Linked DNA regions of Macaca mulatta. The protein of the gene in region 1 interacts with the protein of each later gene in a pairwise test. Links are inferred from orthologs where the notes say so. Each region holds a gene or a part of one and is shown in the gene's direction. Other genes may lie near its edges.

What was found.
Region 2: the proteins of ADAMTSL4 (region 1) and OTX1 interact in binary tests that used the Homo sapiens proteins (3 or more experiments, as listed by UniProt). The two-hybrid records come from large-scale screens. The link is inferred for Macaca mulatta from reciprocal best matches to the Homo sapiens genes ADAMTSL4 and OTX1.
Region 3: the proteins of ADAMTSL4 (region 1) and CREB5 interact in binary tests that used the Homo sapiens proteins (3 or more experiments, as listed by UniProt). The two-hybrid records come from large-scale screens. The link is inferred for Macaca mulatta from reciprocal best matches to the Homo sapiens genes ADAMTSL4 and CREB5.
Region 4: the proteins of ADAMTSL4 (region 1) and APOL6 interact in binary tests that used the Homo sapiens proteins (3 or more experiments, as listed by UniProt). The two-hybrid records come from large-scale screens. The link is inferred for Macaca mulatta from reciprocal best matches to the Homo sapiens genes ADAMTSL4 and APOL6.
Region 5: the proteins of ADAMTSL4 (region 1) and CPNE7 interact in binary tests that used the Homo sapiens proteins (3 or more experiments, as listed by UniProt). The two-hybrid records come from large-scale screens. The link is inferred for Macaca mulatta from reciprocal best matches to the Homo sapiens genes ADAMTSL4 and CPNE7.
Region 6: the proteins of ADAMTSL4 (region 1) and SHFL interact in binary tests that used the Homo sapiens proteins (3 or more experiments, as listed by UniProt). The two-hybrid records come from large-scale screens. The link is inferred for Macaca mulatta from reciprocal best matches to the Homo sapiens genes ADAMTSL4 and SHFL.
Region 7: the proteins of ADAMTSL4 (region 1) and AQP1 interact in a two-hybrid assay, tested with the Homo sapiens proteins (2 studies listed by BioGRID and IntAct). The link is inferred for Macaca mulatta from reciprocal best matches to the Homo sapiens genes ADAMTSL4 and AQP1.

The regions. Positions count from the first base shown.
Region 1 is NC_133406.1:116,571,132-116,574,631, reverse strand, and holds part of ADAMTSL4 (ADAMTS-like protein 4), read left to right. Parts: intron 1-224; coding exon 225-288; intron 289-426; exon of another isoform or gene 427-585; coding exon 586-941; intron 942-1,113; coding exon 1,114-1,810; intron 1,811-2,052; coding exon 2,053-2,155; intron 2,156-2,222; exon of another isoform or gene 2,223-2,334; intron 2,335-3,111; coding exon 3,112-3,248; intron 3,249-3,500. UniProt on the Homo sapiens protein: Positive regulation of apoptosis. May facilitate FBN1 microfibril biogenesis.
Region 2 is NC_133418.1:61,712,516-61,716,759, reverse strand, and holds the start of OTX1 (homeobox protein OTX1), read left to right. Parts: upstream 1-1,444; 5' UTR 1,445-1,512; intron 1,513-1,866; 5' UTR 1,867-1,935; intron 1,936-3,511; 5' UTR 3,512-3,620; coding exon 3,621-3,717; intron 3,718-4,244. UniProt on the Homo sapiens protein: Probably plays a role in the development of the brain and the sense organs. Can bind to the BCD target sequence (BTS): 5'-TCTAATCCC-3'.
Region 3 is NC_133408.1:99,935,438-99,939,415, reverse strand, and holds the start of CREB5 (cyclic AMP-responsive element-binding protein 5), read left to right. Parts: upstream 1-1,178; 5' UTR 1,179-1,234; intron 1,235-3,978. UniProt on the Homo sapiens protein: Binds to the cAMP response element and activates transcription.
Region 4 is NC_133415.1:15,895,198-15,899,467, reverse strand, and holds the start of APOL6 (apolipoprotein L6), read left to right. Parts: upstream 1-1,470; 5' UTR 1,471-1,647; intron 1,648-2,204; exon of another isoform or gene 2,205-2,490; intron 2,491-4,270. UniProt on the Homo sapiens protein: May affect the movement of lipids in the cytoplasm or allow the binding of lipids to organelles.
Region 5 is NC_133425.1:85,041,575-85,044,576, forward strand, and holds part of CPNE7 (copine-7), read left to right. Parts: coding exon 1-10; coding exon of another isoform or gene 11-77; coding exon 78-211; coding exon of another isoform or gene 212-570; exon of another isoform or gene 571-694; intron 695-3,002. UniProt on the Homo sapiens protein: Calcium-dependent phospholipid-binding protein that may play a role in calcium-mediated intracellular processes.
Region 6 is NC_133424.1:10,795,578-10,799,747, forward strand, and holds the start of SHFL (shiftless antiviral inhibitor of ribosomal frameshifting protein), read left to right. Parts: upstream 1-1,370; 5' UTR 1,371-1,481; coding exon 1,482-1,502; intron 1,503-1,974; coding exon 1,975-2,098; intron 2,099-2,296; coding exon 2,297-2,346; intron 2,347-2,521; coding exon of another isoform or gene 2,522-2,660; intron 2,661-4,170.
Region 7 is NC_133408.1:97,464,355-97,468,489, reverse strand, and holds the start of AQP1 (aquaporin-1), read left to right. Parts: upstream 1-1,335; 5' UTR 1,336-1,392; coding exon 1,393-1,776; intron 1,777-4,135. UniProt on the Homo sapiens protein: Forms a water channel that facilitates the transport of water across cell membranes, playing a crucial role in water homeostasis in various tissues.

The DNA.
Region 1 (3,500 bases):
GAAGGGGCCATGGTGGGGAGGGAAGGGGGGGTTGCTGGGACGGCTCCATGTCTGGAAGTGAGGGAAAGAGGACCACTGGGAGGGGCAGGGGAAGTGATGAGTAACTTCTGCTTTCTGAGAAGTTGGTAGTCAGGATATGGGGAGCCGGCTGGGGGCGGAGGGTGGTGTTGCAACACCCCCTCTGGCTCCAGTCTGACGTCCCTCCCATGGCCTTTGGTTTGCAGGCCCTGGCTGTATCTGCTGCTGCTGCTGCTTCTGTCCCTCCCTCAGCTCTGCCTGGATCAGGAGGTGAGCTTTGGACAAGTGAGCAGCTGCAGCCTGCCTGCCACCCTTTCATCTCCCCCTGGGCTCCCACCCCATCTCTCCAGGCCACGCCTCCTTTCCCCACAGCCCATCCACCTCCCCTGCCAACTCCACAGTTACTTGCCTCACAACACCAAGAGGCCGAGGTGTAGTTCTCCCTCTGCTGCTGAATGTGACCCTGGACTGGCAGCGACTCTGTGAGCCCCAGCGGTGGTCTAGATGGACGCTCTGGACAGTTCCCTCTAATCCTTCCAATTCTGTCTGACCTTTTTCTCTATATAGGTGTTGTCCGGACACTCTCTTCAGACACCTACAGAGGAGGGCCAGGGCCTCGAAGGTGTCTGGGGACCTTGGGTCCAGTGGGCCTCTTGCTCCCAGCCCTGCGGGGTGGGGGTGCAGCGCAGGAGCCGGACATGTCAGCTCCCTACAGTGCAGCTCCGCCCGAGTCTGCCCCTCCCTCCCCGGCCCCCAAGACATCCAGAAGCCCTCCTCCCCCGGGGCCAGGGTCCCAGACCCCAGACTTCTCCAGAAACCCTCCCCTTGTACAGGACACAGTCTCGGGGAAGGGGTGGCCCACTTCGAGGTCCTGCTTCCCACCTAGGGAGAGAGGAGACCCAGGAGATTCAAGCGGCCAGGAGGTGAGAGGCCTGGGTGGAAGAGGTGGGCCTTGGGCAAGGTGGGGGCTTAGCAAGAAGGAAAGGGGAGCACGGGTGACTTCAGAGGGCTTGTCTTTGGTGCCAGGAAGTAAACTGGGGAAACAGGGTCAGAGGTGGTCAGAGCTGTGCCCCCACATCTGAAACACCTTCTCAGGTCCCGGCTTCGAGACCCCATCAAGCCAGGAATGTTCGGTTATGGGAGAGTGCCCTTTGCATTGCCACTGCACCGGAACCGCAGGCACCCTCGGAGGCCACCCAGATCTGAGCTGTCCCTGATTTCTTCTAGAGGGGAAGAGCCCATTCCATCCCCTACTCCAAGAGCAGAGCCATTCTCCACAAACGGCAGCCCCAAGACTGAGCTCCCTCCCACAGAACTGTCTGTCCACACCCCATCCCCCCAAGCAGAACCTCTAAGCCCTGAAACTGCTCAGACAGAGGTGGCTCCCAGAACCAGGCCTGCCCCTCCACAGCACCACCCCAGAGCCCAGGCCGCTGACACAGAGGCCCCCTCACCCACGCACTCCTTAGGAGAAGGTGGCTTCTTCCGTGCATCCCCTCAGCCACGAAGGCCAAGTTCCCAGGGTTGGGCCAGTCCCCAGGTAGCAGGGAGACGCCCTGATCCTTTCCCTTCAGTCCCTCGGGGCCGAGGCCAGCAGGGCCAGGGGCCCTGGGGAATGGGGGGGACTCCTCACGGGCACCGCCTGGAGCCTGACCCTCAGCACCCGGACGGCTGGCTGCCCCTGCTGAGCAACGGCCCCCATGCCAGCTCCCTCTGGAGCCTCTTTGCTCCCAGTAGCCCTATTCCAAGATGTTCTGGGGAGAGTGAGCAGCTAAGAGCCTGCAGCCAAGCGGTGAGTCTCCTCGGGTCTCCCCTCCCAACCCCAACCTCCAGTGTGGCCTCCCCGCCCTGAAGCTGGGCCCTCAGCTTCTTCTCGGCCCCTGAGGGAGAAGGGCCTTGGCATCTGACCACCTCAGGGCAGGGGTCTTGGAGCTCTTCCGCTGACCTGATCCTCCCGCCTGCTCCCCAGGTTCAGCCCTGACCTTACCCTCATTTTGCTCCCCAGCTCTGACTCCTTTGTACCCCTCACCGCAGCCCTGCCCCCCCGAGCAGCCAGACCCCCGGGCCCTGCAGTGCGCGGCCTTTAACTCCCAGGAATTCATGGGCCAGCTGTACCAGTGGGAGCCCTTCACCGAAGGTGAGGTTTCTTGCCCACCCCTGGGCAGTGATGACTTGGAATTGGGGATGAAGGGGAGAGGAGACACCTGCTTACTCCCAGCCCTGAATGACTTCCAGCCCCTCTGCTTCCCCTGCGCCGTGCCTTCTTTCTTCTCCCTGGGGCTGGGTCAGGAGACAGCACAGGTGGCGGCGAGTGGTCTGCAGAGGGGTCGGGGTGGGAGGAGGAGGTGCGGGAGACACGCTTTGTCCGGACTCCTCTGGGAAGACCATCACTGGGGGTCGGGTGGCTGTGACACAAGAGGGCCACAGTGGGAGAGATCCTGTCCAGCCGTGACAGCTGGGTGGGGGTGTGCCACGTATCCTGGGCACTACCGTATCGGTTGCTCCCAAGTTACCATCCGCTTCATTTTAGGCCTGTGTTGACACCAAGACAAGCACTCAAGAGCTCTGAACACACAGAATCATGGGCCTCAGGGATTGCTCCTCTCTCGGTTCAGAGTCCCCTTGATGGTCTCAGTGACCTCGACTGACCTGACCACCTTCCTTTTTTTTTTTTTTTTCTGAGACAGTCTCGCTCTGTCACCCAGGCTGGAGTGCAGATCTCGGCTCACTGCAACCTCTGCCTCCTGGGTTCAAGCAATTCTCCTGCCTCAGCCTCCCAAGTAGCTGGGACTACAGGCATGTGCCACCATGCCCGGTTAATTTTTGTATTTGTAGTAGAGATGGGGTTTCACCATATTGGCCAGGCTGGTCTTGAACTCCTGACCTAATGATCTACCGGCCTCGGCCTCCTAAAGTGCTGGGATTATAGGCATGAGCCACTGTGCCGGCCCTGACCACCTTCTCAGCTTGTGCTGTTGTCACATTTCCTTCATCCACAGTGACCTGGGCAACCTCAAGGTGCCCCCCCGGGGCCTCTCTCAGCTAACCTCCCACCAGGGAGCCCACTAACCACCCTTCTACTCTGTCCCTTAGTCCAGGGCTCCCAGCGCTGTGAACTGAACTGCCGGCCCCGTGGCTTCCGCTTCTATGTCCGTCACACCGAAAAGGTCCAGGATGGGACCCTATGTCAGCCTGGAGCCCCTGACATCTGTGTGGCTGGACGCTGTCTGGTGAGGGAAGACGGGGTGCACACACACACACGCATATGTGCACAGATACACACCCCTGTACACATACACATGTACACACACATATGCATGAACATATGCACACATGCAAGCATGTACACACACGTATGCAGACACACATGCATATGCACACATATGGACACAGACACATGTATGCATACACATGTGCACTCGTGCATGAACACATGCACATATGCATATGCACACAGACACACACGGACACACATGCACACA
Region 2 (4,244 bases), on another chromosome or scaffold:
ATCATATTCTGTTACCGTATTTTATTCGGACTCCAAAGGAAAGTGTCGCTTGGGGGAGGGGGAAGCACTTTGATGAGCGGCGGCCGCGGCCCCTTTTCACTCAGCGGGCTCCCCCTTCCTTCTCCTCCTCCTCACCCAGCGCCCTGTCTGCTCTCCGCGCCCGACCCCGCAGCCTGGGCAGCACGGGTGCTCCCCACTGCGATGCGCCTGGAGGCTCCTTGACTCGCCCTCACACTTACTCCTGTGCAAACTTTTTACCCCGCCTGTCGGGGTGGGGGAGTGGGGGAGATTAGAAACAAGGGGTAGAAATTCCTCGAAAGGGAATAAAGTGCCTAATTTTCAGAAGGAGGTGCCATTTAAAAGATTCTCCTAGCTCAGAGTTGGAACGAAAACTCTTTTTTGCACTTTTAAAAGTCCACCCAGGCAGACGTGTTTGGGAAGTTTGTTCCACTGGGAAATGGGCTTCGCCCGTACGAACAATCCGGGGAAATCGCCTCAAGGAGGCTCCTTACGCAGCATGTGGAAAAAAGTTGAGGGCAGGGGTCTGTGGCCACATTTTCCATCAAAAAGTCCCTGTTAGAGGCAGACTAGGAAAGAGAGAGAAAGAATGAAAAAGAAACTTTCCTATCAAAATGTTTGAATTAAGAAGTAGGGTGTACATGTGAGGGCAAGAGGACGCTGGGCTCCAACGTTTCAGAAGAAGCGCTTAAGGCTTGCAAACACCCTTGGTGGGGACCGGGAACCCCGGGAGATGCCGATGAGCAGGTAAGTGGCTGTGCCCTCCCAGTGGGTGCTCTTCCCAGGCGCGAGAGTCCCGAGGCGCCGAGGAGAGATCTGCACGCCCGGAGCTGCTCCCGCGCTCTGCAAAGTAGCCTGCGCCGGCACGAGCCGCCCGCGGCGTCGGTCTCAGGTGGCGGTGCAGAGGAAGAAAACGCTGGGGCCCGCGGCGCCAGGAGAGGGGCCGAGGCCCGGGCTCCTCCAGCCCGCCGCCCCCGGGTCCTGGCGCCCACACCCGGGCGGCTGAGCCCGGTGGCGCGCAGGAGAGCGAAGGAACCGGTTCTCCAGCACCTCTCCTCGTCTCTGCCACTCCCTCCGGAGCGCCGAGAGCGCGAGAGAAGGGCGGGGGCGCCCAGGGAAGGCCTGGAGACCCGCGGCCCCCTCCGCGGCCAGGACTCGGGCTCTCCGCTCGCCTTCCTCGCCTAGCTCTGAGCCGCTTTTGCCAGCCGAGTCCCGGAGTTAGCGCGCGACCGGGGCGGGGCGGGCGGGAGGGGAGGGCGGGGTGTGGGGGGCGGGGGAGGGCGGGGGCGCGCGGAGGTAACCCCCGGCTCGCGCTGCCATTGCCCGGCTCCCTGTCACTCAGCCCGCGCGGGGCCCCCGATTGGCGGCCTAGCCCCGTTACGCACTCGCCTCGCGTTCACATACCCGGGGAGGGCAGTAGAAAGGTGATCAATCTTCATCAGGCTACATTTCCAATCACCTAAACAACCGAGCAAGACAAGCCACTCCGACAAGGTAAATCGCTTGATTTATTTAGTTTGCAAAGTGACTCTGCAGGACTTCCCAGTCCCCACTGCCTCCACGTTGCACCGGCAGTGCCGCGGTAACGCCGAGCCACCTCCCAACTCTGCCCTCGAATTCCCCCCCTTGCGGCCCCTCGGCGCGATTCCGGGCGAGGCAATGTCCTGCCTGAGAACGTGTGGGGCTTAGCAAACAAAGTGTCTGTGCAATAAAGTGAAACCCAGAGGGACACGCACAAAGCCACTGAAAAAAAAAGATAGAGGTGGGAGGAAGGAAGTTGGGAAAAGAAAGAAACCCGGGGTCCTAGACCAGCCGCCGGGGTAATTCCTGTGCCGCTCTGTTTTGCAGGTTGGCTGCCCGGCGGGTCTCTGTGAGAGATCCAGGTAGATGGTGAACGTCCCCGGCAGCTGAGGGCAGGTAAGGAGAAAGCCGCGGGACCATCCCGGACTCCGGGAGCGCGTTGGTTACCCTTACCTCCCCCTCCTCAAATGGATCCCCACTTCCCCGGTCACCAGCAGGTGGGCGGGGCTGGGGGAGCGGCCTAGCTCCCCTCTTGGTGAGCCGAGGACCCCGGGGCGCTGTCGCGGCCCGCCGCTCCCTCCCCCGCCTCCTCCGAAGTAACCAAGCTGAAGTGCTAAGTTTGGAGAAAGTCTTTGAAAACTCACGCTGCAGCTTCGCAAAGCCGTCGCAGCTTTGAGTCCCATTTTCCTTCGGCCCTAGAGCCCTGGCTGCTTCTCTTCTCGTCCCCTTCCTACAAGCTGGACTCCCTCAGCCCAGGTCTTGGATCCCAGAAGACCGGGGTGGGAACGGGGCAGGGGGGAGCTTCTTTAGCTCTAACTTCTCTCCCTGAACGTCCTAGCCCGAGTCCCTGGCCTGCTTCACAGCGATCCCGCTAAGCGGGGTGTAGCAATGGCCCCCCAGAGCCCCAGGCCCAGTTTCCAGCGCCCCTCCCTGACCCCTGAGAGTGCCGCCCCGGGTTCCTGGCAGCGGCGGGGGCGAGGCTTCCACCTCCCAGCTCGGGTCTGCGTGGGCTATGCCGCTGAGGCCTACTTCTCTGTTCTCGACAGTGTCCTGGGGCCGCGGGTTCAGCTACAAGGATGACAGCACGGGACTTGCTGCCCTCCGGCTTTGCAAATCCCCGAGACCCTTTGAGGTGCTAGGTCAGTCACCCTTCACCCCCTGCTGGGACCCTGTGGTCCGCAGCACAGACTGGACAGAGAAGGCCGGGTGCGCGCTGGCAACGAAGGACGCTGGCCGCAGCTGAGACGCTCCCGACCTCAGGCCGCGTCTTGGGGTCGCCCCCCTCTACAGTGGCCTCTTCGGCGTCCCCTGGCCCTCTGCGAGGCCTGGGCCGGTTACTGCGGTTGAGGTGTGGTGGGATTTCGCGTCAGCGATCTTTCAGTGGCTGGGCACAGAGAGGTCAGCTGGAATGGTGATTGCGGGCTCTGGGGCAGGGGCGCAGCCCTGGAGACCTTTGAAGGAACCAAGTGTCCTAAGTGGACAAGAGGTTGAGGTGCGGTTAGCCCTCCACATTGCCTCACCTTGGCCCTTTGTAGTCTCTACCTTTTCAAAAACACGTGAAACAAAATGAAACAACCCCTCATGCTCCGGGAGGCCTGCCGTCCCGGCACCAAGTGAACGTTTGCTTGTGCAACATGAAGCTGGCTTCTGCCGGATTCAGAATTTTGCCTGGACTTGGGAGCTTGCACACTCCGCGGTTCTTGCTCTGACCTCCCCAGCCTGGCCTGGCTTTGACTTCTCCTTACTCCTATGGACTCCCTACCAGTGTCTTTGGCTCATTCCAACGCTGGAGCCAGACGACCCAGAAAACTTTACTTTTCAAAGCAACTGTGGTTTCTGGGCTAAGGCCTTGTGGATTCCAGTTGACCACCCTGCGCAGTTCTGTAACCTGCCTTCCCTGTCTATCCTGGGGCAAGACTTGGCAGCCAAGTGGCTCCGATTGATGGTTTCCGTGTGTCTCGTGTCTTCATAGGCCAGGCCCCCAGACGCATCAGACCCTGAAGGACTGCGGTGGGAGCCCTGCACCGCTTCTGGCCCCAGGTCCCCTGGATCCGTCGGGGCGCCTCCACCCAGCTGTTAGCATGATGTCTTACCTCAAACAACCCCCATACGGCATGAACGGGCTGGGCCTGGCTGGGCCCGCCATGGACCTCCTGCACCCATCCGTGGGCTATCCGGGTGAGCACCAGCCCTCCCGACCCTGCTTCAGCCTCTCCAATGTTGGGGCCCCCCAGACTGTTGGGTTTGAGTGCAAGCTTTGTTGCCGAGCAGGCCCAGGGAGTCAGCTATTGCAATACAGGGCCCACTGCCTGTTTACAATACAGGGCCCACTGCTGGCGCACGGGGCAGAGTCGTGGGCATGTGAGGTGGCCAGGGCTGAGAAAACGCGCAATGTGCGCCTTCCTGGCCGGGTCACCGGCAACCTTTCTCCTGTTGTGGTCCCACCACCAGCGCAGAGCTCATTTACCTGCGGATTCGCTACCCAGGGGCGGCTAGTGTTTTTCCTTTTCCCCCAACATGGAATGAGTAATCTGGACACTCGTTAGGCCCTGACAGAAAGAGCCAAACTTTCCTTATGCGAAGCGGCAGGCTGGACTGAAGGAGTATTCTTCCTTCCTAATTAAATTGTCCTCTAAATTGATGTCCTGCATCCATTTTTGCACTGCTGTAGAGGACGACCTGAGCCAAACCCGGGGTTCTTTAGC
Region 3 (3,978 bases), on another chromosome or scaffold:
TGCCTTAGCTCACCTGTAAAATGGGGATAATTATAATACCTGTCCTACTTATGGTACCCGGGTTGTTGTGAGAAACAAGGGAATTCACGTGGTTGCAAATGCTTTGTAAGGTGTGAGGGGCTGCGAGGTTGGCACTGGTCGTCTAGAATCGGGCTGGATTTAGCCTATGCCTTCTCTTTGAATCCTACTCAAAGGGAGAACTTCTGAAAGGAAATTCAGCAGGGGAATGGTGACAGTGATGGTGACGGCCGGATGCTGGAGACGCCAGGCTCCTCTCGCTGCAGACCAGGCGCCCGGATCCTGCAGTCTGGCCCTGGCTCTGCCGCTTCCCAGCCCGTGAGCTTGGGCCAGTTACCGAAGAGGCTCTGGAAGTGACAGCCAAGGGCCCTTTCAGCTCTGACGCCGTGTCTAAATCAGGCTCATCACTTGGCTCTAGCTGTGATTCACCTTTCGCCTTAGGAGCAACTCTCCCTACAGCTTCTCAGACGCACGAAGCAGGGGTCCCGCGAAGGGTGGGGGCTGTGTATTTCATGAGAGTGTGCACCATAAGGAAGTTATTCTCCTGGAGGAGGTGAGATGGGGGGCGGTGAAGAAGGGGTGACAAGTGAGTGCTCTGAGAAGCCAGGATGCAGGGAACACTGAAATGAGGTCATGACTGTCGCAAGCAAAAAGGAGCTGGACATCCTCAGTGGGGGAGGGAGGAGCGTCCTGCATTTCTGTTTGCAAAGCCTCTTCCCACATCCTTCAGCATCCCCCTCCCCACCTCTCCCCTAACCCCCATCCCTACACCTTTCAAACCCCATCAGGCCCTCCCCGCAGAACAGCCCACGCCCGCGCCTCCTCCGTGGTCCTGTCTGAAACCATAAGGATTGTTTCCAAGCTGACTCACACCACTAATGTCAGGGAGCCGTGTCACACGGCGCTGGGCTCTGCAAGCTGTTGCTTGCGCAGTCGCCCCCGCCGCTGCCGCTCCCCGGCGGGTGCACCAGGGTCCGCGCGGGCGGGGCGGGGTTTGGGCGGGGCCGGGGTGGGGCCTGCCCCCTCGACGCGCCGGCCCCGCCCCTCGCTCTGTCCCTCCCCAGCGGACCGCAATGATTTAGAAGTTCAGGAATCCCACGTGACGTCACCGGGGGGGTGATGTAATGCACTCTAAATAGAATGTATTGTAATCTTTGCTCAGTCCAACGTGGTCCCTTCACCCGGGCTCCGCTCTTGCCTTCTCCACACTTGTTTGGTAAGTTCCTAAAAATACGGCTCGGCCACTTCTGGGGCTTTTGCATTTAGCCACTTTTGTTGCACTTGCCGCGGGAGCCATCTCGGGAGCGTACTTGTTTGCAGGGGTTGGTTCTCGGCAGCAGCCGCGAGGTTACTTGGTCCAGTGGGCAGGTCACAGGGCAAGGAGTAGGGAAGATGCGATGCATTTTTTTCTGGAGGGTGATCTGTGTTTGTAAACATTTTGGCGGACCAGAGGGAAGTCCGGCCCCGAGTGCTGGTAGACTGTGGAATTCGGCTGTGTCCTGAGGCCACCCCAGAGACCCCGCGCCGCGTGAGTGCCGGAGCGCTCGGTGGCCGCCGCGCCGCGCGCCTGGAGGGATGCTAACGTGGAGCCGGCGCCGAGTCCGCCCGGCGTGCGTGCGTGTGTGGGAGCGCGCGAGTCCCCTGACGCGGGGACCAGTTATGAATCGGGGGTGTGTGTTTGCCTCCAGAGACCTGGCAAGGTGCGGAGTCCTCCAGAAGTGCGGTCAAGCGGCAGCGGAGACGGCGAGCCAGGAACCTCCCCCCGCGTCCCCAGCTTCCCAGCGTGGCGGCGGAATCCCCGGAGAAAGTTTGCAAACTTCCAGCGGGCGCGGCGAGGACTCCGGGTCACCTAGGGGGCGGGTGGGCGCGCGCGCAGGGGGCTCGCTCTCCCCGGTGCGGAGCTGCCGCTGCCACTTCTCCCGTGGGGCTGCTGGCTGCAGTGGGTTGGCGCGCGCCCGGGGAGGGGAGGTCGCCCTTGGAGGGCGCTTGGCTTTCGCTCCAGGCACTCCGGGCTGGAGAGCGGCGAGGCTCCGTCCGCTCCCGTCCACTCCTCCGGCCGCCTCCTGCCTCCGCTGCTTTCTCGCTGGCATCGTTACCTCTTCCCGGCCGCTGCCCCAAATGACAGCTCCGGCTCGAGCCTTGGCGGCGCCCAGGCAATTCCCAGGACCCGGCGGCGGAGTCTCCCCCTGCGGCAGATTCTCGGCAGAACCACTTGAACTTTTCGTGAAGTTCTTAGAGGGGCAAGATGCGAAGGAAGGAACCAAGGAGATGTTTTCTCTCAGCAGCTGCATCCACTTCTTTGCCATAGAGTTGTTTTTAAGGGACGTCTAGTAGATAAAGCCCCAGACCTTGTCCACACTCTCATCCCCGTCCCCAACTTTCCCTGGACCGGTGCCGCCCCCACTTGATGCTTGTTCAAGGCCGGGGTCTGGAGCGGGCTACTTGTATGTTTCGTTGTCAGTCTGCTTCTGATGTGTTTGATTTTTATTTTTCCCTCCTTCTCTGACATGTGTCAAGGAATAAAGGCTGGATACAGGTCCATTACGTCATTCTGCAGGCCAGTAAGTGTTTGATTAAAGGCTTGAGCTCCTCAAGGGTTCAGGAGCTTAGAATGCTGACAAAGCAACTCTGCTGTGCATCCCCCTACCCTCCTCACAACACACTCGTGCAATCGCCCCCTCCCTAGGCATCTTTATTGCCCTCTCTTCCCAACCCCTCCCTCTCCACCACTCCCCCGTCTACACCGTTATCACTCTAGCCCCGGCCCCGCCTTTTACAGCTTTCCCTGGAGCGAGCACAGTCCCTGGAGTGTGGGTAAAAGCTTCTGGGGTCTGAGGGGACCACTGTACCTGATCAGCGCGCAATCTGCCCTTTTGTATTTTTTAAGAAAGGCACCAGCAAGCCTTCTCCTCTAGAGCGAAAATGCTTAGTCCTGATAGAAAAGGCAAATCAGGAAATGTTTCCAAGCGTTATGATAATACTCTGTCCTCGTGGTGGTGACTTAGGAAGGCAATACACCCACTGCAAACAAAGTACTTCACTTTACGTATTGCCTGCCCTTTAGCAGAAGAGGGAAGACGAAGAAGCCAGGATGCTGACAAAATCAGGTTTAGCTGAAAGGATCAAGACTAAACGTTTCATTTCCAAAGTAAGGGAATATGAGTTGTTGAACCTAAACTTCCATACAATAAATTGGTGTGTGCGTTAGTTTCTAGCTTTTAACCTTAAGTTTCTATGTTGAAAGAGGAAGTTCAATACGTAAGTCATTGAATTGAGTCAGAACCTCCGTATCTGGCAGTTGAAATAAAGACCCTGTGTATGACTTGTTGCAAGGGATCAAAGTAAAAAGAACTCTTGGCGGGGGGGTGGGGGAGGGAAATGTGCAGAAATTAAATTATAAAAGTATTAACAGAGTTTTGGATAGAGCGGGAGAGGGAATTGGAGTGGTTCCTGATTTGGAGTTGGTGAAAACTAAATAAAGAAATATTTATATTGCCAATATGAGGAATTTCTTGAAGAACACATGTTTTCTTATAATTAGATCTACTTTCTTCAAAGTGAAAGCCATGCTGTAGGGTAGACATTTGTGAAACTCCTGTCTGGGGTCTAATTGACATACTTCCCCAAGTTTGTGGCAGGATTTAGTATTTATTCACATCTAGAGATGAAATAGTGTAACCTCCACACAATATGTGTGCATCGAAAATGTTGAACTTCTTGTTTGTGATGCATAGACTTAAAGGAAAAAAAAAAATGGCCCAGTCATGGGCACTGGAAAGTGTGATTAATGATCAGTGATTTAGTGATCAGTGATTAGTGGTTTTATTCAAACTGTTACCTCTGACCAGAAGCACACATCAGAGGATTAACAGGCTCTTTAGATAAATGCTCATTAGTGGAAGGGGAAAAGCAAAGATAATAGGCATGCACCCAGGGACAACTTTCGAAGAAAATCATTCC
Region 4 (4,270 bases), on another chromosome or scaffold:
CCAAGTCCGCTTCAAGGTCACGCTGTGTTTAGAGTGTTCTCCAAGTGTGGGAGGCCACAGCAGGGCTGGCTTGTGGAATCTGGGATGCCAGGGTTGGAAAGGCCCCTACAGGACCCAACTCAGCAGCGCTTAACCCCTCATTCCTGCTCGTAGGGCCCAGTGACAGGAGGTGGCCTCCATCGTCGCAAAGGCAGGACTGGCTAGGTGGGCCACGCCTTCTGCAAAGCAACAGCACCCAGTGTGGCCTCAGCTAGGGGTGGTGACTGGGGATTTCTGCAAACCACGTGACTTCTGATCACAACGTGACAGAAATGTTAGAGAGACACAGATCTCAGCCCGTAACCACACTGTGGGCTCATTCTTGCAGACACAGCGCCTAGGACTGGTTCTTAGCTGTGTAATCACTAACAACCCACAACTTCTAGAAGCCTGAGTTTCCTCTTCCTTAAAGTGGGAGACAGAGTATCACATCCTGTATCTCCAATCCTTGAGGCCAGATGCATGTCAGAGTCCCCAAGTGATTTTTAGAAAGGTAATGGGGTGCAGGTATCACGTACTGTGTAACCCACCCACCCCCAGCAGCCCTCCTCAGTCAAACATATTAATATTTTTACAGTGACAGTGAATATTCAAATTAAGGAAGAGACATAAAAACCATAAGTGAATTCATGCCAGATCAGCTCAGGTTTTGTCACTAAATGAATAAATTATTATTTTTTTTAAGTTTTCGTTTTCAGGCCGGGTGCAGTGGCTCACACCTATAATCCCAGCACTTTGGGAGGCTGAGGTGGGTGGATCACTTGAGGTCAGGAGTTTGAGACCAGCCTGGCCAACATAAAACCCCATCTCTACTAAAAATACAAAAATTAGCCAGGCGTGGTGGCAGGCGCAGGTAATCTCAGCTACTGGGGAGGCTGAGACAGGGGAATAGCTTGAACCCAGGAGGCGGAGGTTGCAGTGAGCCGAGATCGTGCCATTGCACTCCAGCCTGGGCAACAGAGCAAGACTTCATCTCAAAAATAAAATAAAAAATAAAATAAAAAAGTTTCCATTTTCAGAGGATTCTGCATTTCAGAGTTATTAGCCCTTAAATGCCGGCCGTGCACCTCATAGGGCTGTTATCCACATCAAGATGCTGTGGAGGGAAGCAGTTTCAGAACAATCAGTGATGATCGCTACTGTGAATCCACTATTCATCAGGTGCCCCATCGCTTGCTCATGGGCTCCTCACCATAGCTCTAAGCCACAGGAGCTATTTTCATACCCCATATAGGTCCATCCTATAACACAGCCAGGACAGAGACGAGAGACTCAGGCCTTCTGACTTTGATTCTGCTCTTTCATCTCGTTGTGCATGCAGTTAGAGAAACAGGCAAAAAGGAAAATGAAAGTGCACAGCTGGAGCCCATGATTTCCTGGAAGAGCCCGAGAGTTTGGCTTTTTTTTCTCCTGCAGCACTTAACAGAAACCAGTTTTGCAATCAATTCCCGTTCAAAAGCCACCCTACTCTTCCTATCTGTCTTTCTCCAGCCCAGACGCTCACAGCCTCCTGCAGGACCGGGGGCCTCGGAGAGTCAAGGACAGAGGTTCAGGATCTTCCTCTCCCTCGGGACCCGAGGCCACAAAGGAGAGCTCCGTGGAGAGAAGGTGAGATGGCAGGCAGAAGTTGGGGGAGAAGGGGGCTGCTGCTCTAGTCCCTGAAGGACAAAGCCCCCAAGGGGTTAGCTTTAGGCACCTGACTTAGGAAAAAGAGCTGCTGTCCAAGCAGCGGGGTTCAAATGCCAGCCAGAGCGTGGGGAGAGTCTGAGGATCAATTTCTCCTATGTTAAACCCGGTAGGTTTCTGTCCCTTACAGCCATTTGAGGGTTAAATCAAAACGTGATAAAGCATGTGATGTGACTAGCCAAGCTGCATTTGCCCCTCCACTGCTGGGGATCCAAGGGCTTAAGCAGAGGTGATCTGGCACTTAGAAAGCAGGTGATTTCAGCTGGGCGCGGTGGCTCACGCCTGTAATCCCAGCACTTTGGGAGGCCGAGGCGGGCGGATCACGAGGTCAGGAGATCGAGACCATCCTGGCTAACACGGTGAAATCCTGTCTCTACTAAAAATACAAAAAATTAACCAGGCGTGGTGGCGGGCGCCTGTAGTCCCAGCTACTCGGGAGGCTGAGGCAGGAGAATGGCGGAGCTTGCAGTGAGCCGAGATCGCGCCACTGCTCTCTAGCCTGGACGACAGAGCAAAAAAAAAAAAAAAAAAGAAAGCAGGTGATTACATCAGCCGCCACAGGGGTTTCTCTAGAAATTCAGTATAGGAGTGGTTTAGGGGTGTCATTTCACAAGAAAAAGGGTGCTGGGTGAGTTGTCCGGAAACTGCAAAGCCAACCTACCGAGTTTTCTAGATTGTAGGTTTATGTGAAGTTGTTTAGGAAGAGGGTGAGGGAGTTTGTGATAAATATTAGGGTGACTAGGCCAGGCGCAGTGGCTCATGCCTGTAATCCCAGCACTTTGGGAGGCTAAGGCAAGTGTCTTGTTTGAGCCCAAGAGTTTGAGACCAGCGTGGGCAACATAGTGAGATCCTGTCTCTAAAAAAGTCAAAAATTAGCTGGGCGTGATGGTGCACACCTGTAGTCCCAGCTACTGGGTGGATGGGGGGTGCTGAGGTGGAAGGATTACTTGAACCCAGAAAATCAAGAATGCAGTGAGCAGTGATCACACCACTGCACTCCAGCCTGGGCAGCAGAGTGAGACCCTGTCTCCAAAAAAAAAAAAAAAAAAAAATTGGGAGATTATCTTGAAGCTGTGTTTTCAAAGTAAGCAGACTTTTCTTACTTAGATTGTGTATCTGAAGAAGTTGGTTTTGTGGGGGAAGGCAGGTAAGGAAAGACTGTCATAAATATCCTATAAGCTTTAAAATGAAAATAATGTCTCAAATCCTCTCCCAATACAACTCTCATCTCACAACCACCGAGAGCAGGTCAGAGGGGAGGGAATGGGATCTGCTCAGACGAGTTTCCTGCTGTTACCTTTGCCCTGCATCCCATAGAACTAATGTAAAAAAAAATAGGAGAGGTACTGGGGGACTCTGGTGAAAAATGGGGTTCCAGACCAGGGTCTCTCACCCCCGGCACCCTTGTCATGTTTAACCAGGTGATCCCTGGTTGTGGGGGCCGTCCTGTGCATTGTAGGGTGCTTGGCAGCATCCCTGGCGTCTGCCCACTACATACCCTCTCCAGTTGAGACCATCAAAAATGTCTCCAGATATTAGCAACGTCCCTGGGGAGCAAATGTGCCCTGACTGGGACCAACCACTCCAGACTCAGCGTGGCTGGAATCGTACAGGCTCTCCTGCTTACTGTGTAACACTGGCCTCCCTATGTCTCAGTTTGCACATCTGTAAAATGGGCATAATCTTGGCATCGATTTCACAGGGTCACTGTAAAGCAGGTAGATGTATGTCTGGCGAAAGTAAGTCCTTAAAGGTGCCAAGCCCCTCAAATCAAACCAAGCTTCACATACCAGAGAGGGGAGAACGTTTTTATCTTTGACACATTAATTCTTTTTCATAGACTGCCCCAAAGAAATAACCAAACATGTAGACACACATCTATATAAGGATTTTAACCAAAAATTATAAATACAAAATTTAAAAATAACTGAAAACAACCCAAAGTTTCAACAGTGAGAAAGTTACTGAATGTGTAGTGATACATTGGTATAATGAAATGTGACACGGTTTCTATATATCACCTGGGGAACTACTACCATACAATGTTTTGTTTTTTTGTTTTTTTTTTTTGAGACGGAGTCTTGCTCTGTGGCCCAGGCTGGAGTGCAGTGGCCGGATCTCAGCTCACGCAAGCTCCGCCTCCAGGGTTCATGCCATTCTCCTGCTTCAGCCTTCCGAGTAGCTGGGACTACAGGCGCCCACCACCTCGCCCAGCTAGTTTTTTGTATTTTTTCGTACAGACGGGGTTTCACTGTGTTAGCCAGGATGGTCTTGATCTACTGACCTCGTGATCCACCCGTTTCGGCCTCCCAAAGTGCTGGGATTACAGGCTTGAGCCACCGCGCCCAGCCCCAACGATACAATGTTAAGTGACAAGAATTCACACAAGCTACCTGAACAGCATTCATTTAAATTTTGGGTTTGTAAAATAAAATGTCACTAGTTTTTATTTCCATGTGGTGAGTGTACAGGTGGATTTTATAATTTATTTCTAAATTTTCAACCGTAAACTTGTATTCATTTAAACAATTAGAAAATGAATGGC
Region 5 (3,002 bases), on another chromosome or scaffold:
GAGTGTGAAGGTAGGAGCTCGAGGCAGGCCTGGGGAGGGGGTGCAAGGGGGCCGGGCTCACCCCCTGCCCCCTACAGGCATCCAGGGCGTGGTGGAGGCCTACCAGAACTGTCTGCCCAGGGTCCAGCTCTACGGCCCCACCAACGTGGCGCCCATCATCTCCAAGGTGGCACGCGTGGCGGCGGCCGAGGAGCGCACTGGGGAAGCCTCTGTAGGTGCCCGGGGGGCGTGGTGCATGCGTGGTGCATGCGTGGTGCATGCGTGGTGTGGGGTCGGCTATGTGTGCACCAACGCCTGGACATTAGGGAGGCAGCCAGGCAGAGGGAACAGCCAGCACAGAGGCCCCGAGGCGAACAACTCAGGAGGGCGGGGGCCCAGCTGGTTGACTGCGTCGGCATCAAAGCTGCGGGTGTCTCGGGCACAGGGCTGTCCATCGCCTCACAGGGTCACAGCCACAGGTCCAGCGAGGCTGCCCCTCCTCTTCCTCTGGGCACCGCAGGGCCGCACACGTGTCTACTGTTTGGCTGTACGTGCGTTGTCATTTTGTTTGTGTGTCTTTACTTTGCGTGAATGATAGGGTGCCGAGGACCGTGCTGGGCTCTACTCTGCCACCGTTTCTGTGGCCCTGTATGTGTTGCTGGGGCCACAACCAGCCTGTTCCTTTTTTTTTTTTTCTTTTTTTTTTTTTCTTTTTTTTTATTTTTTGAGACGGAGTCTCGCTCTGTCGCCCAGGCTGGAGTGCAGTGGCCGGATCTCAGCTCACTGCAAGCTCCGCCTCCCGGGTTCACGCCATTCTCCTGCCTCAGCCTCCTGAGTAGCTGGGACTACAGGCGCCCGCCACCTCGCCCGGCTAGTTTTTTGTATTTTTTAGTAGAGACGGGGTTTCACCGTGTTAGCCAGGATGGTCTCGATCTCCTGACCTCGTGATCCGCCCGTCTCGACCTCCCAAAGTGCTGGGATTACAGGCTTGAGCCACCGCGCCCGGCCTCTTTTTTTCTTCTTTTTTTTTGAGACAGAGTCCCGCTCTGTCACCCAGGCTGGAGTGCAATGGTGCGATCTCCGTTTACTGCACCTCCGCCTCCCCGATTCTCCTGCCTCAGCCTCCCGAGTAGCTGGGATTACAGCTGCCCGCCATCTCGCCCAGCTAATTTTTGTATTTTTAGTAGAGACAGGGTTTCGCCTTGTTGCCCAGACTGGTCTCAAACCCCTGACCCCCGACTGATCCACCGGCCTCAGCCTCCCAAAGTGCTGGGATTACAGGTGGGAGCCACCACACCCGGCCTGAAATAATTTTAAACTCACCAAAAAGTTGCAAGAGCGCCGAGGTCCTGCAGCCCGTGAGGCCACCAGCTGCTCACATGTTGCACTTCTGCTCGTGTCTGTGTAGTTGTTGTATGTTTTCTTTTTCAATTTTTTTTATTTTTTTATTTTTGACGGAGTCTCGCTGTGTTGCCCAGGTGGAGTGCAGCTCACTGCACGCTCCGCCTCCCAGGTTCACACCATTCTCCTGCCTCGGCCTCCCGAGCCTGGCTAATTTTGTTTTTGTATTGTTAGTAGAGACGGGGTTTTACCATGTTAGCCAGGATGGTCTCCATCTCCTGAACTTGTGATCCGCCCGCCTCGGCCTCCCAAAGTGCTGGGATTACAGGCGTGAGCCACCGCGCCCGGCCTACCTCTTAATATTTCAATGTATATTTCCTAAGATCAAAGATACTCTTTTATATAACCATAGCACAAATACAGATTTCAGGAAATTGAATTTAGATAACAATACTTTTATCTAATACGTAGACTATATTCCAATTTCATTAATTGACACAATCGTAACTTTCAAAGCAGTATTATTCCTGGCACGGGATCCAGCCTGGAGTCAGGATTGTGTTCAGTCGTCATGTTCCTGTGTTGTCTGGAAGCGAGTCTCAGACGGTTTCATCTGTAAATATCACTGTCAGCCGCTAATAAAGATAAGGCCTCTTTTTAAGCTGCCACGACACCTGACCGCGCCTAAACCGCCACCCCTGGCGTTGCACGTCCCTCTGGTGTTTATGTTTCCGTGACATGGTTTTCTGTGGTTAGAACTGGGTTGAAACCAGGACTCAAACGTGATCGGCTGAGCCCTCGGTCCCTCTCCTGGACACGAAGCCCCGGGCCTCGCAGGGCCCCTCAGTGGGTTTTGGGGCCTGGTGCTCACACAGTTGGCAGTGGGGGTGGGGGCGTCATCTGGGGTTGGGAGGGGGTGGGGGGCTTTCTGAGGATGGGCTGTTTATCTGAAGGCTGAGAGCCAGGCTGGGCACAGCCATGGGTGCTTGTGGGCCTGGACTGGAGACCGCCTTGCAAACAGGTAATTCTTCCCACAGGTGTGGGGCTCAGAGGGGAGATGGGGAGGGCACAAAAGGAGAGCCTCTCGGAGAAAGTGACTCTGAGCAGGGTCCTGGGGCCCCTGTTCGTTTCCAGGACACATCTGCCCTCAGTGGGACGGGCTCAGTCAGGGCCAGCCCTGGGGAGGCTGCTGTGGGCTCCCACTCTCCTGGGGACAGGGCCGTTCCAGCCCCCCGAGGCAGCTGCTCAGGCCAGCCCTCCTTCTCTTTGTTTCCCACTGTCCACAGTTTGGGCAAGATTATTGAGTGGGTTTTTTTTTTAAACAATGGAAATGGATTTTATTTGAGTTTCATTCTTTTTTTTTTTTTTTTTGAGACAGTCTCACTCTGTCGCCAGGCTGGGGTACAGTGGTGCGATCTCGATTCACTGCAACCTCCGCCTCCCAGATTCGAGCAATTCTCCTGCCTCAGCCTCCCAAGTAGCTGGGACTACAGGCGCTCACTACCACGCCTGGTTAATTTTTGTAATTTTAGTAGAGATGGGGTTTTGCCATGTTGGCCAGGCTGGTCTCAAACTCCTGACCTCAGGTGATCCGCCCACCTCAGCCTCCCAAAGTGCTGGGATTACAGGCGTGAGCCCCGCGCCCGGCCTCTACTCTGTCTCGTGCGGCACAGTGGACACCC
Region 6 (4,170 bases), on another chromosome or scaffold:
AAAATTAACCAGGCATAGTGGCATATGCCAGTAATCCCAGATACTTAGGAGGCTGAGGTAGGAGGATTGTTTGAGTCCAGGAGTTCGAGGCTGCAGTGAGCCGTATTCAAACCACTGCATTCCAGCCTGGGCAACAGAGCAAAACCTTGTCTCAAAAGATAAATAAATATCCATCTGGGGGTGTAATTTTAACAGTTTTACCTATAGAGGTGTGCAATGGAGAAAAAAATTTAGAGTCGTTGAACACAATGCTATTTTGCCCCTCAGAGAGTATCTGGCAGTCTCTGGAGACATTTTTTGTAGTCACAACAGGGAGAGTGAGGAGCCACTGGCATCTAGCAGGCAGTGGCCAGGGATGCTGTTAAATGTCCCCCAACACACAGGACAGTCCCCCACACAAAGAACCAGGCAGCCCAAAGTGTCAAGAGTGCTGGGCTTGAGAAGCCCTTGCCCGAAAGCCCCAGACTTAGTCTTGTTTTGGGGGCTCTGCACGGCTGCCTCAACTCCCCACTCTATTCGTCCCCGAGCTAAGACCTCCAATTTCAGTGACTGTACAAAGCATCCCCTCCTCCAATGAAGTAGCCATCTCTGTGTCCCCAGGCTGGGCCAGAGCCCCACCACCTAACGGCTCCCTGATGCGCCCTGTACTGGGTTAGAACTGTCCAGCCCACGGGGTTCTTAACCATTGCAGATTCCCTGGATCCCTGAGACAGCCGGATTCTACCGGGCAACGAGAGACCAAGAATCTGTGTTTTTCTCAAGCACCGCTCCCCGCAACCACACACACACTGCCTGCCCCTATCAAGGGCACACAGCAGGTGGCCCAGTGACTAGTTGAGTGCCTACTGCAAGCCAGGCGCTATTACGCGATCCACTCGGGAATCTTGGCACATACTCCACTCCATGGTGTAGAGACCAGGATCCTCCCCATTTCACAGAGGGGTAAACTGAGGTTCAGAGAGGTGACCCTAGCTAGGACAGAGACTCAGGGCAGGAAAAGCGCCCAGGTCCTCATGAGCGCCAGATTCCCGGGGAAGGAGGGAGGACAGAGAGGAGGGTGATGAACTGGGGGAGCGCGCGCTGGGTGGGGGGGCGCGGGGCCTCGCCGCGGCCTTCCGATGCGGCCCCGCCCCCACGAGGGACGTGAAGACGCGGACCCCGCGCAGCGTGGGGACATGTGACCGACTGCAGAGGCCGCGCCGCCTCCCCCGCCCGAGGTCTGCGCGCTCCGCCGCAGGGTGCAGACCCGGGGCGCCCGCCTGGGTTTGGGGCGCAAGAGCAGAGGCGGAGCCAGGGCGGAGCCAGCGCGCCCGGTCCCCCCTGAATCGAAAGCGAAACAGGGGCTGGGGAGGAAGGGCGGAGCCGGCCCCGAGGCACCGCCCCCTGCCCTGCGCGGCTGCTGGACCGACGGGCGCGCCCAGGTAGGGGGGCGGCTGAACCGCGCAGTGCGGACCCTCGCGGGGACCTGCGCCGCCGCCACCATGTCTCAGGAAGGTGTGGAGGTAAGAGATGGCTACGGCTGGGCCGGGGGCAGACGCGACAGACTCCGAGGAGCGGCCGAGAAGCGCGGAGGGGGCTTCGCAGTTCCTGGGGACCCCCATCCTAGAACCCCAGATCTTTACCCCTGCCTGGCGCTCACCCCCCTTGAAAAGGAAAGTGACTCCCACGTTTCCCCAGAGCGAAATGAGGCCTCTCCGAGGAAAAGCGGGGGCTGCAGGGTCAAAGGTCAGAGGCCAGAGATAACCTGGCCGCCCCCCCACCTTAGGCTGGGACGCTCGCCTCAGTCCGCGCCCTCCCCCAGCGCCATGTGGGGACTTTGGCTTTTTCCAGGAAATGCCGTAGAGGGATGAAAGGGGGGGCGGCGGAGGCCAAAACCAAGGGTCAAGTTCAGGCCGGGAGAACGGTGCCTAGAGATGGGGGAGGGACGATCGCGCTTCCCCTTCGCCCACCGGAACCCCCCTGTCCCCATCCCAGCTGGAGAAGAGCGTCCGGCGCCTCCGGGAGAAGTTTCATGGGAAGGTATCCTCCAAGAAGGCGGGGGCTCTGATGAGGAAATTCGGCAGCGACCACACGGGAGTTGGGCGCTCCATCGTGTACGGTGAGGCTGCTGGGGTCCCGGGCCTGGTGCGGAGACCGCGCGTGGGAGCGCCGAGGGGGCGTGGTCTAGGGAGAGGCGTTGAGATCACCTCCCCCGGAGGTCCCAGCCTCGGGGAGGCTCTGCATCGCGGCTCTGGGTGGCCTGGAACTCCCACAGACCCTTCAAGGGCCCTTCTCTTATACGCACTCTCCCCCGCAGGGGTAAAGCAAAAAGATGGCCAAGAACTAAGTAACGATCTGGATGCCCAGGTAACCTGTCCCCTCCCCTCGCAAAGGACCGGGTCACGGGAGGGACAGCAAGAGGGGGGACCCGACCGGTTCATGGTGACTGACACTTCTCTGAAACAGGAGGGACCAGGCATTGTCGGTCCGTAACTCATCACCCAATATCACTTTTTCACCTCTCTATCGTTTGTCCGGCCAGGGAGCCTGCAAACAGTAGGTGCTCATTATGCGCTGATTGTATTCAAAGGCGGACAGCCATGAAACTAGGCAATGAAAGGAGTCAGGATTATGGCCATCGTGGGGGGGCAGAGATCAGAGAAGACTTCCTGGAGGAGGAGGTACCAAGTCTTAAAGGATGGAGAGGAGTGAGCCCTGGGAGGGGAAAGGGAAAGAAAGGCAGGGGCCTTAGGGTGTGGGAGGGAATGGCATGAGCAAAGGCTGGGAGGTGGGGAAGGGTTGTTAGTGTCAGTCTCTAGAAAGGCTGGGATGAGCAGGGGATTGGGGAGGAGAGAGAGGGAGGGGAAGGGAACCCTTGTGTTGAATGAATGAATGAATGAATGAATGAATGAATGAATGAATGAATGGCTTTGAAGCACAGGTGCATCATGGCTACTTTGCTTCTTCGAAAGCTTTGGTGATGGGAACACTGTGGATTTCGCCTGCCTGAAAGGCTCAGTGTAGGGCTGTTACAGTATAATAGGCCTGGCGCCATGGCTCACGCCTGCGATCCCAACACTTTGGGAGGCTGAGGCGGGCGGATCACCTGAGGTCGGGAGATTAAGACCATCCTGGCTAACATGGTGAAACCCCATCTCTACTAAAAATACGAAACAACAACAACAACAACAATTAGCCAGGCGTAGTGGCAGGCGCCTGTAGTCCCAGCTACTCAGGAGGCTGAGGCAGGAGAATGGCGTAAACCCGGGAGGCAGAGCTTGCAGTGAGCCAAGATCGCGCCACTGCACTCCAGCCTGGGCAACAGAGCAAGACTCCGTCTCAAAAACAAAACAAAAAACAAAAAAACCCAGAGGATAGTAAAATATGTATCATAGTCTACATTTATACATATAAAAGTATGATAAAAATGATAGCAGAGGGGCCGGGTGCGGTGGCTCACGCCTGTAATCCCAGCACTTTGGGAGGTTGAGGCGGGCAGATCACTTGAGGTCAGGAGCTCGAGATTAGCCTGGCCAACATAGTGAAACCCCGTCTCTACTAAAAATACAAAAAATTAACTGGGCGTGGTGGTGCATGCTTGTAATCCCAGCTACTTGGGAGGCTGAGGCAGAAGAATCACTTGAACCTGGGAGGCGGAGGTTGCAGTCAGCCGAGATCACGCCATTGCACTCCAGCCTGGGCGACAAGAGTGAAACTCCATCTCAAAAATATAATAATAACAATAGCAGAGGGTAGCATTCATTGAGTATTTCCCATATGGCAAGACTCCAGGAATTGATTTATTTCATCGCCACAGTGACCCCAGGAGACAGGTCCTGTTATTTATCCCCATTTCACAGACAAACTGAGGATGAAGTCACTTGCTAGGTTCACGAAGCAAGCAGGTGGCAGCTGCGATTTGAACCCTGGCCACCTGGAGTCAGAGTCTGGGCTCTAACATGCCTGTCAGTGGGAACCCAGGAGGCAGGGAGTGGCTTGTCCAAGTCCCCACAGCTGGAAGTGATAGAGCTGGGATTCGAACCCACATCTCTCAGTCCAGATCCCCACCACTTAGCCAAGCACAACATGGCCTCAAAGGGGCGATATTGTCACAACACCAACAAGCATGTGGCATTTGCAGGCAGGAAGTGAGTACGGGGGTCAGGCTGGCCTCACAGGCAAGCCCTCCCC
Region 7 (4,135 bases), on another chromosome or scaffold:
CAGCAGGCAAGTGGGCCAGGCCCAGGGATTCCTGACAGCTTGCTGGCCCCAGAGTCCGGATTCTTTTTGTTTGTTGGCTGGCGCTGGGCCTCTGGATTGGAGATGCCCAGGGCGCAGGGGGCCCGCGGGGGTCCGTAGCAGGGCCTCGGCCCCTCCCTTTGCAGGGGCTCGTCTGGCCCCTACTGGTCTCTCCTTCTCCTCATTTATCTCTCCCTTTCTACTTCTTGGCTCTGGGTCCAGTCCTATCTCCCTGTTTCGGTTTGTCTTTTCCTAGCCCTCTGCGCTCTCTCTGTCTCTCTTGGCCCTGCTTGTCTCACTGTCTCTGGTTGGGGGTCTGTCTCTTTCGCTTCCACTTTTGCTCTATTTCCTGGCTACTGTCTTTCCTTTCTCCTTGTCTGTCTCTTCTCCTCCCCTCAGCCTGCATCTCTGTCTCTCCCTTTCTCTCCTGCTCCCTCCCTCCCTCCTCTCCATCACCTTCCAATGCCAGGTGGGGCTGCCGTTCCTTCCACCTTCCCAGTGACCCACCAGTGTGACTGCCTTGAGAGGAAAGTCCTAAACTGTCCCATCTTCACCAACCTGCCCACAAATCATTGGTTCAAATTGCTCTGGAGAAGTTTGGGAGCTCCCAGGGTAGCGGCTTTCTAACAGCTCTGCCTAGCTCAGGCCTGTCCCCAACCACAGCGTGGAGGGCAGCCACAGACAACCTCTCTGCACCTTCTGATGCCTCCGTGCCCCATCCACAGAGGCCTGGCTCGGGGAGACTGGGGACTCTGGGACATCCCTAACATGGCATGCAGTGGCCGTGTGGGAGGCCCTGACTGCCCCTCTGGAGCCCTGGGCCCAGGGACTCCAGACCAGTGCCTCTCTGGATTGGGATGGGGATGTCAGGCCAGCAGGATCATGGTGCCTGCCTCCAGGGAGGGCAACGTCCACCCACTGAGTCCAGCCCGCCCACCCCGCCCACCCCGCCCACTCTGGAGCACCTGGCTGTGTCCTCAGGAACCCCCTGAGCTTTGCACACAGGGCGGAGACACCTGGATTTCTCTGGTCCCGTGAGTGGGGCCAGCTTGGAAGAATTTCCCAAAGCCTATTAGAGCGACGGCTGCCTCCTGCCTGCCTCCTTGGGCTGGGCAGGGCTGAGGGCGGAGGGAGAGAGAGAGGGAGGGGGAGAGGAGGAAGGAAAAAGTTGGCAGGCGGACAGCAGAGCCGTGTCTGCATCCATCCAGAGGAGGTCCGTGCGGTGTGGGGCGGGCCAGGAGTGAAGAGAGGCCTTCCTCCCTTTGTGCTCCCCCCGCCCCCCGGCCCTATAAATAGGCCCAGCCCAGGCTGTGGCTCAGCTCTCAGAGGGAGTTGAGCACCCGGCAGCGGTCTCAGGCCAAGCCCCCTGCCAGCATGGCCAGCGAGTTCAAGAAGAAGCTCTTCTGGAGGGCAGTGGTGGCCGAGTTCCTGGCCACGACCCTCTTTGTCTTCATCAGCATTGGCTCTGCCCTGGGCTTCAAATACCCGGTGGGGAACAACCAGACGGTGGTCCAGGACAATGTGAAGGTGTCGCTGGCCTTCGGACTGAGCATCGCCACGCTGGCACAGAGCGTGGGTCACATCAGTGGCGCCCACCTCAACCCGGCTGTCACGCTGGGGCTGCTGCTCAGCTGCCAGATCAGCATCTTCCGTGCCCTCATGTACATCATCGCCCAGTGCGTGGGGGCCATCGTCGCCGCCGCCATCCTCTCGGGCATCACCTCCTCCCTGCCTGGGAACTCGCTCGGCCGCAATGATGTGAGTGGGGTGTCCCCGAGCTTGGGGGGTTCTAGAATGATGCTGAAAGGCACCAGTTCCATCCTCTGCCCATCGTGCAGATGCGGACACTGAGGAATGGAGAGGACAAGAGGTTGCTGGAGGTCACATAGAGAGCCGGGGGGGAGAGCTGGGGCTGGAACTCAGTTATGCATGCCTCCCAGAGCCTGTTTTCTGCCAGGCACTGTGGGAAGCTGAGATCAAGAGAATAATGGTCTTGCCAATGTCCCCTGCAGGGCATCTATTATGGGGAATAAGCTTGGCCAGCAGCTCCTCGCCCCTTGGCTGTAGCTTTTTGGCCCTTCTCAGTCCTGCCTGTGCCACCAACTCCCTCCTCCCCCAGCCCTGCACCCTGGGGAAACTTCGCCCGCTTTCCCCAGCCACCCTGAACCAGATGCCCAGCCTGTCTGCAGCTGGTTCTGCAGGTGTGTGAACAGGACTCCCTCAGGGAGCCCCCCATGTTCACACAGGTTTCCAAACAAACCACCTCTAGGAATCCAGAGAAAGGCCGTCTTCCACTCTTCCGCCCCTGGGAATTAGACAAAGATAAGGCAGTGAAAACTCTTTCTGGGGCTGTTTGAAGGCAGTTTTCCTGGATTACAGTATGGGCTGGGGGGCAAGTGCTGGGCTCCATGGTCTCCAGGCACTGAGAGGTGTGGCGTGTGTGTGTGTGTGGGTGGGTGTGCGCGCATGTGCGTGTGTGCATGTACGTGTGCGTGTGTGTGTGTGAAGGTGTGTATGTGTGCATGCGTCTGCCAGCATGAGTCTCTGTGCTTGTGTAAACTGTGTGCATGTTTGTGCTGCTGTGTTAGGGTGTGTGGGGGTGAGTTTGCAACCACACGTGCCCATGGCTCCCGGCTTGAATGGGGTCTGGACTGGGGTCACTAATGACAAGCAGATGCTGGTGACTGGGTGGCAGCTGTGGAAAAGAATGTCTCCTGGGCTGCTTAGCATGGCAAAGTGGCCGCTGGTGGCAGCCGCCTGCTGTCCCAGACCTGGCCTTTCCCAGCTCCTCAGACAAGTGCAAACTCAGGCTGGGCTTGGGCAACAGCAGGGGGAGATTTGGCCTGAGAGACTGAGGAAGGCTTGGAGGATGTCTGAGGGCCCAAGGGACAGGTGAGCAGGCTTTGGGGTGCCCTCACAGGGAGGGAGAGGTTAAGGAGCAGAGAGGAGGACTTGTCTGGAGAGATGAGGCTGGCAGGGCTGTAGGCAGGGCAGGTGGGTGTGGGGACTGTGTGGGTCATCTCGGAGGGCGCCTCAGAGATGGCAGTAGTGATTACAGCAGCTGTCCTCTCGCTTCTCAGTCAAAGTTCAGATCCTGCAGCTGACAGCCTGGGGGAGGCTAGGTGAAGGTCTGGTGCAGAGGGCAGCTGGCTCAGCCCAGCCACGGGGGGCTTAGCGCTTTTGTGTCACGGTGACACCTCACCCAGCCTCCTCTGCAGCCAACCTCTGCTTGGCCCAAGATTGAAGATTACCTCCATGGGCTGGAGTTTAGACTTTAGCCAGTTTAGACGTGGCTGCGGGGTATGTACGGGACAGAGTTCAGGCAGGCCATGTCAAGCTCTGCCCCCAGGCCTCAGTTTCCAGTGGGGGCAGAGCTTGTGGCCTCGGGGAGTTCCACTGGGTAGGGTCAAGCTCACACTGAAGCTTGGCTGGGTATGCTGGGCTGGGGAAGCGTCCCTGTAGGGGAGGGGATGTGATTCCTAGACTTTCTGACCCCATATCGTCCCTCCCATCTCACAGGGCAGAACCTCTGCACATGCTGGCAGAGGCTTCACACTCTAGTATGTGCATCCGAGCCAGAGGCGGGAGGGCGGGCCCCTTCTGTGCCATCTGGATCAGAGGCCACACCCGACTCCTGTGCCCCATTCCCTCCCTGGCCTTCATTTTTTATAGTCACCCCAATACTTGGGCTGGGCGTGTTGCAAATGGGAGAGAAAGAGGAGCAGCCTAGTGTGGGAGCCGGCCCTGGGCTGGGAGGCAGACACCTGGGTTCAAGACCTGTCTGCTGCTAACTTATTGAGCTTTATTGGAGCTGTGGACCCTGACCCTCGAGAGGGGACTTAAGTGTTGTGACCTCACAGCCACACCCAGACAGCCAGCTCACTTCATTGCTTTGAGCTTATCACGCATCCCACAAAGGCTGGCTAAGAGCAGCCCAGCAGGGGCAGTGCTGAACATAAGGGTGCTAAGCATGATGGTGGGGGCTCAGGCACTGCCCTGTCCCGACAGTGGAAGGGTGGGGGTCAGAAGCTCAACTCTGGGCCTAGAAATAGAGAAGGTACCCCCCTAAAGGCTCCCGTCAGACACTGGCCCTGGAACTGGAGGGGTCTCAGGCGTG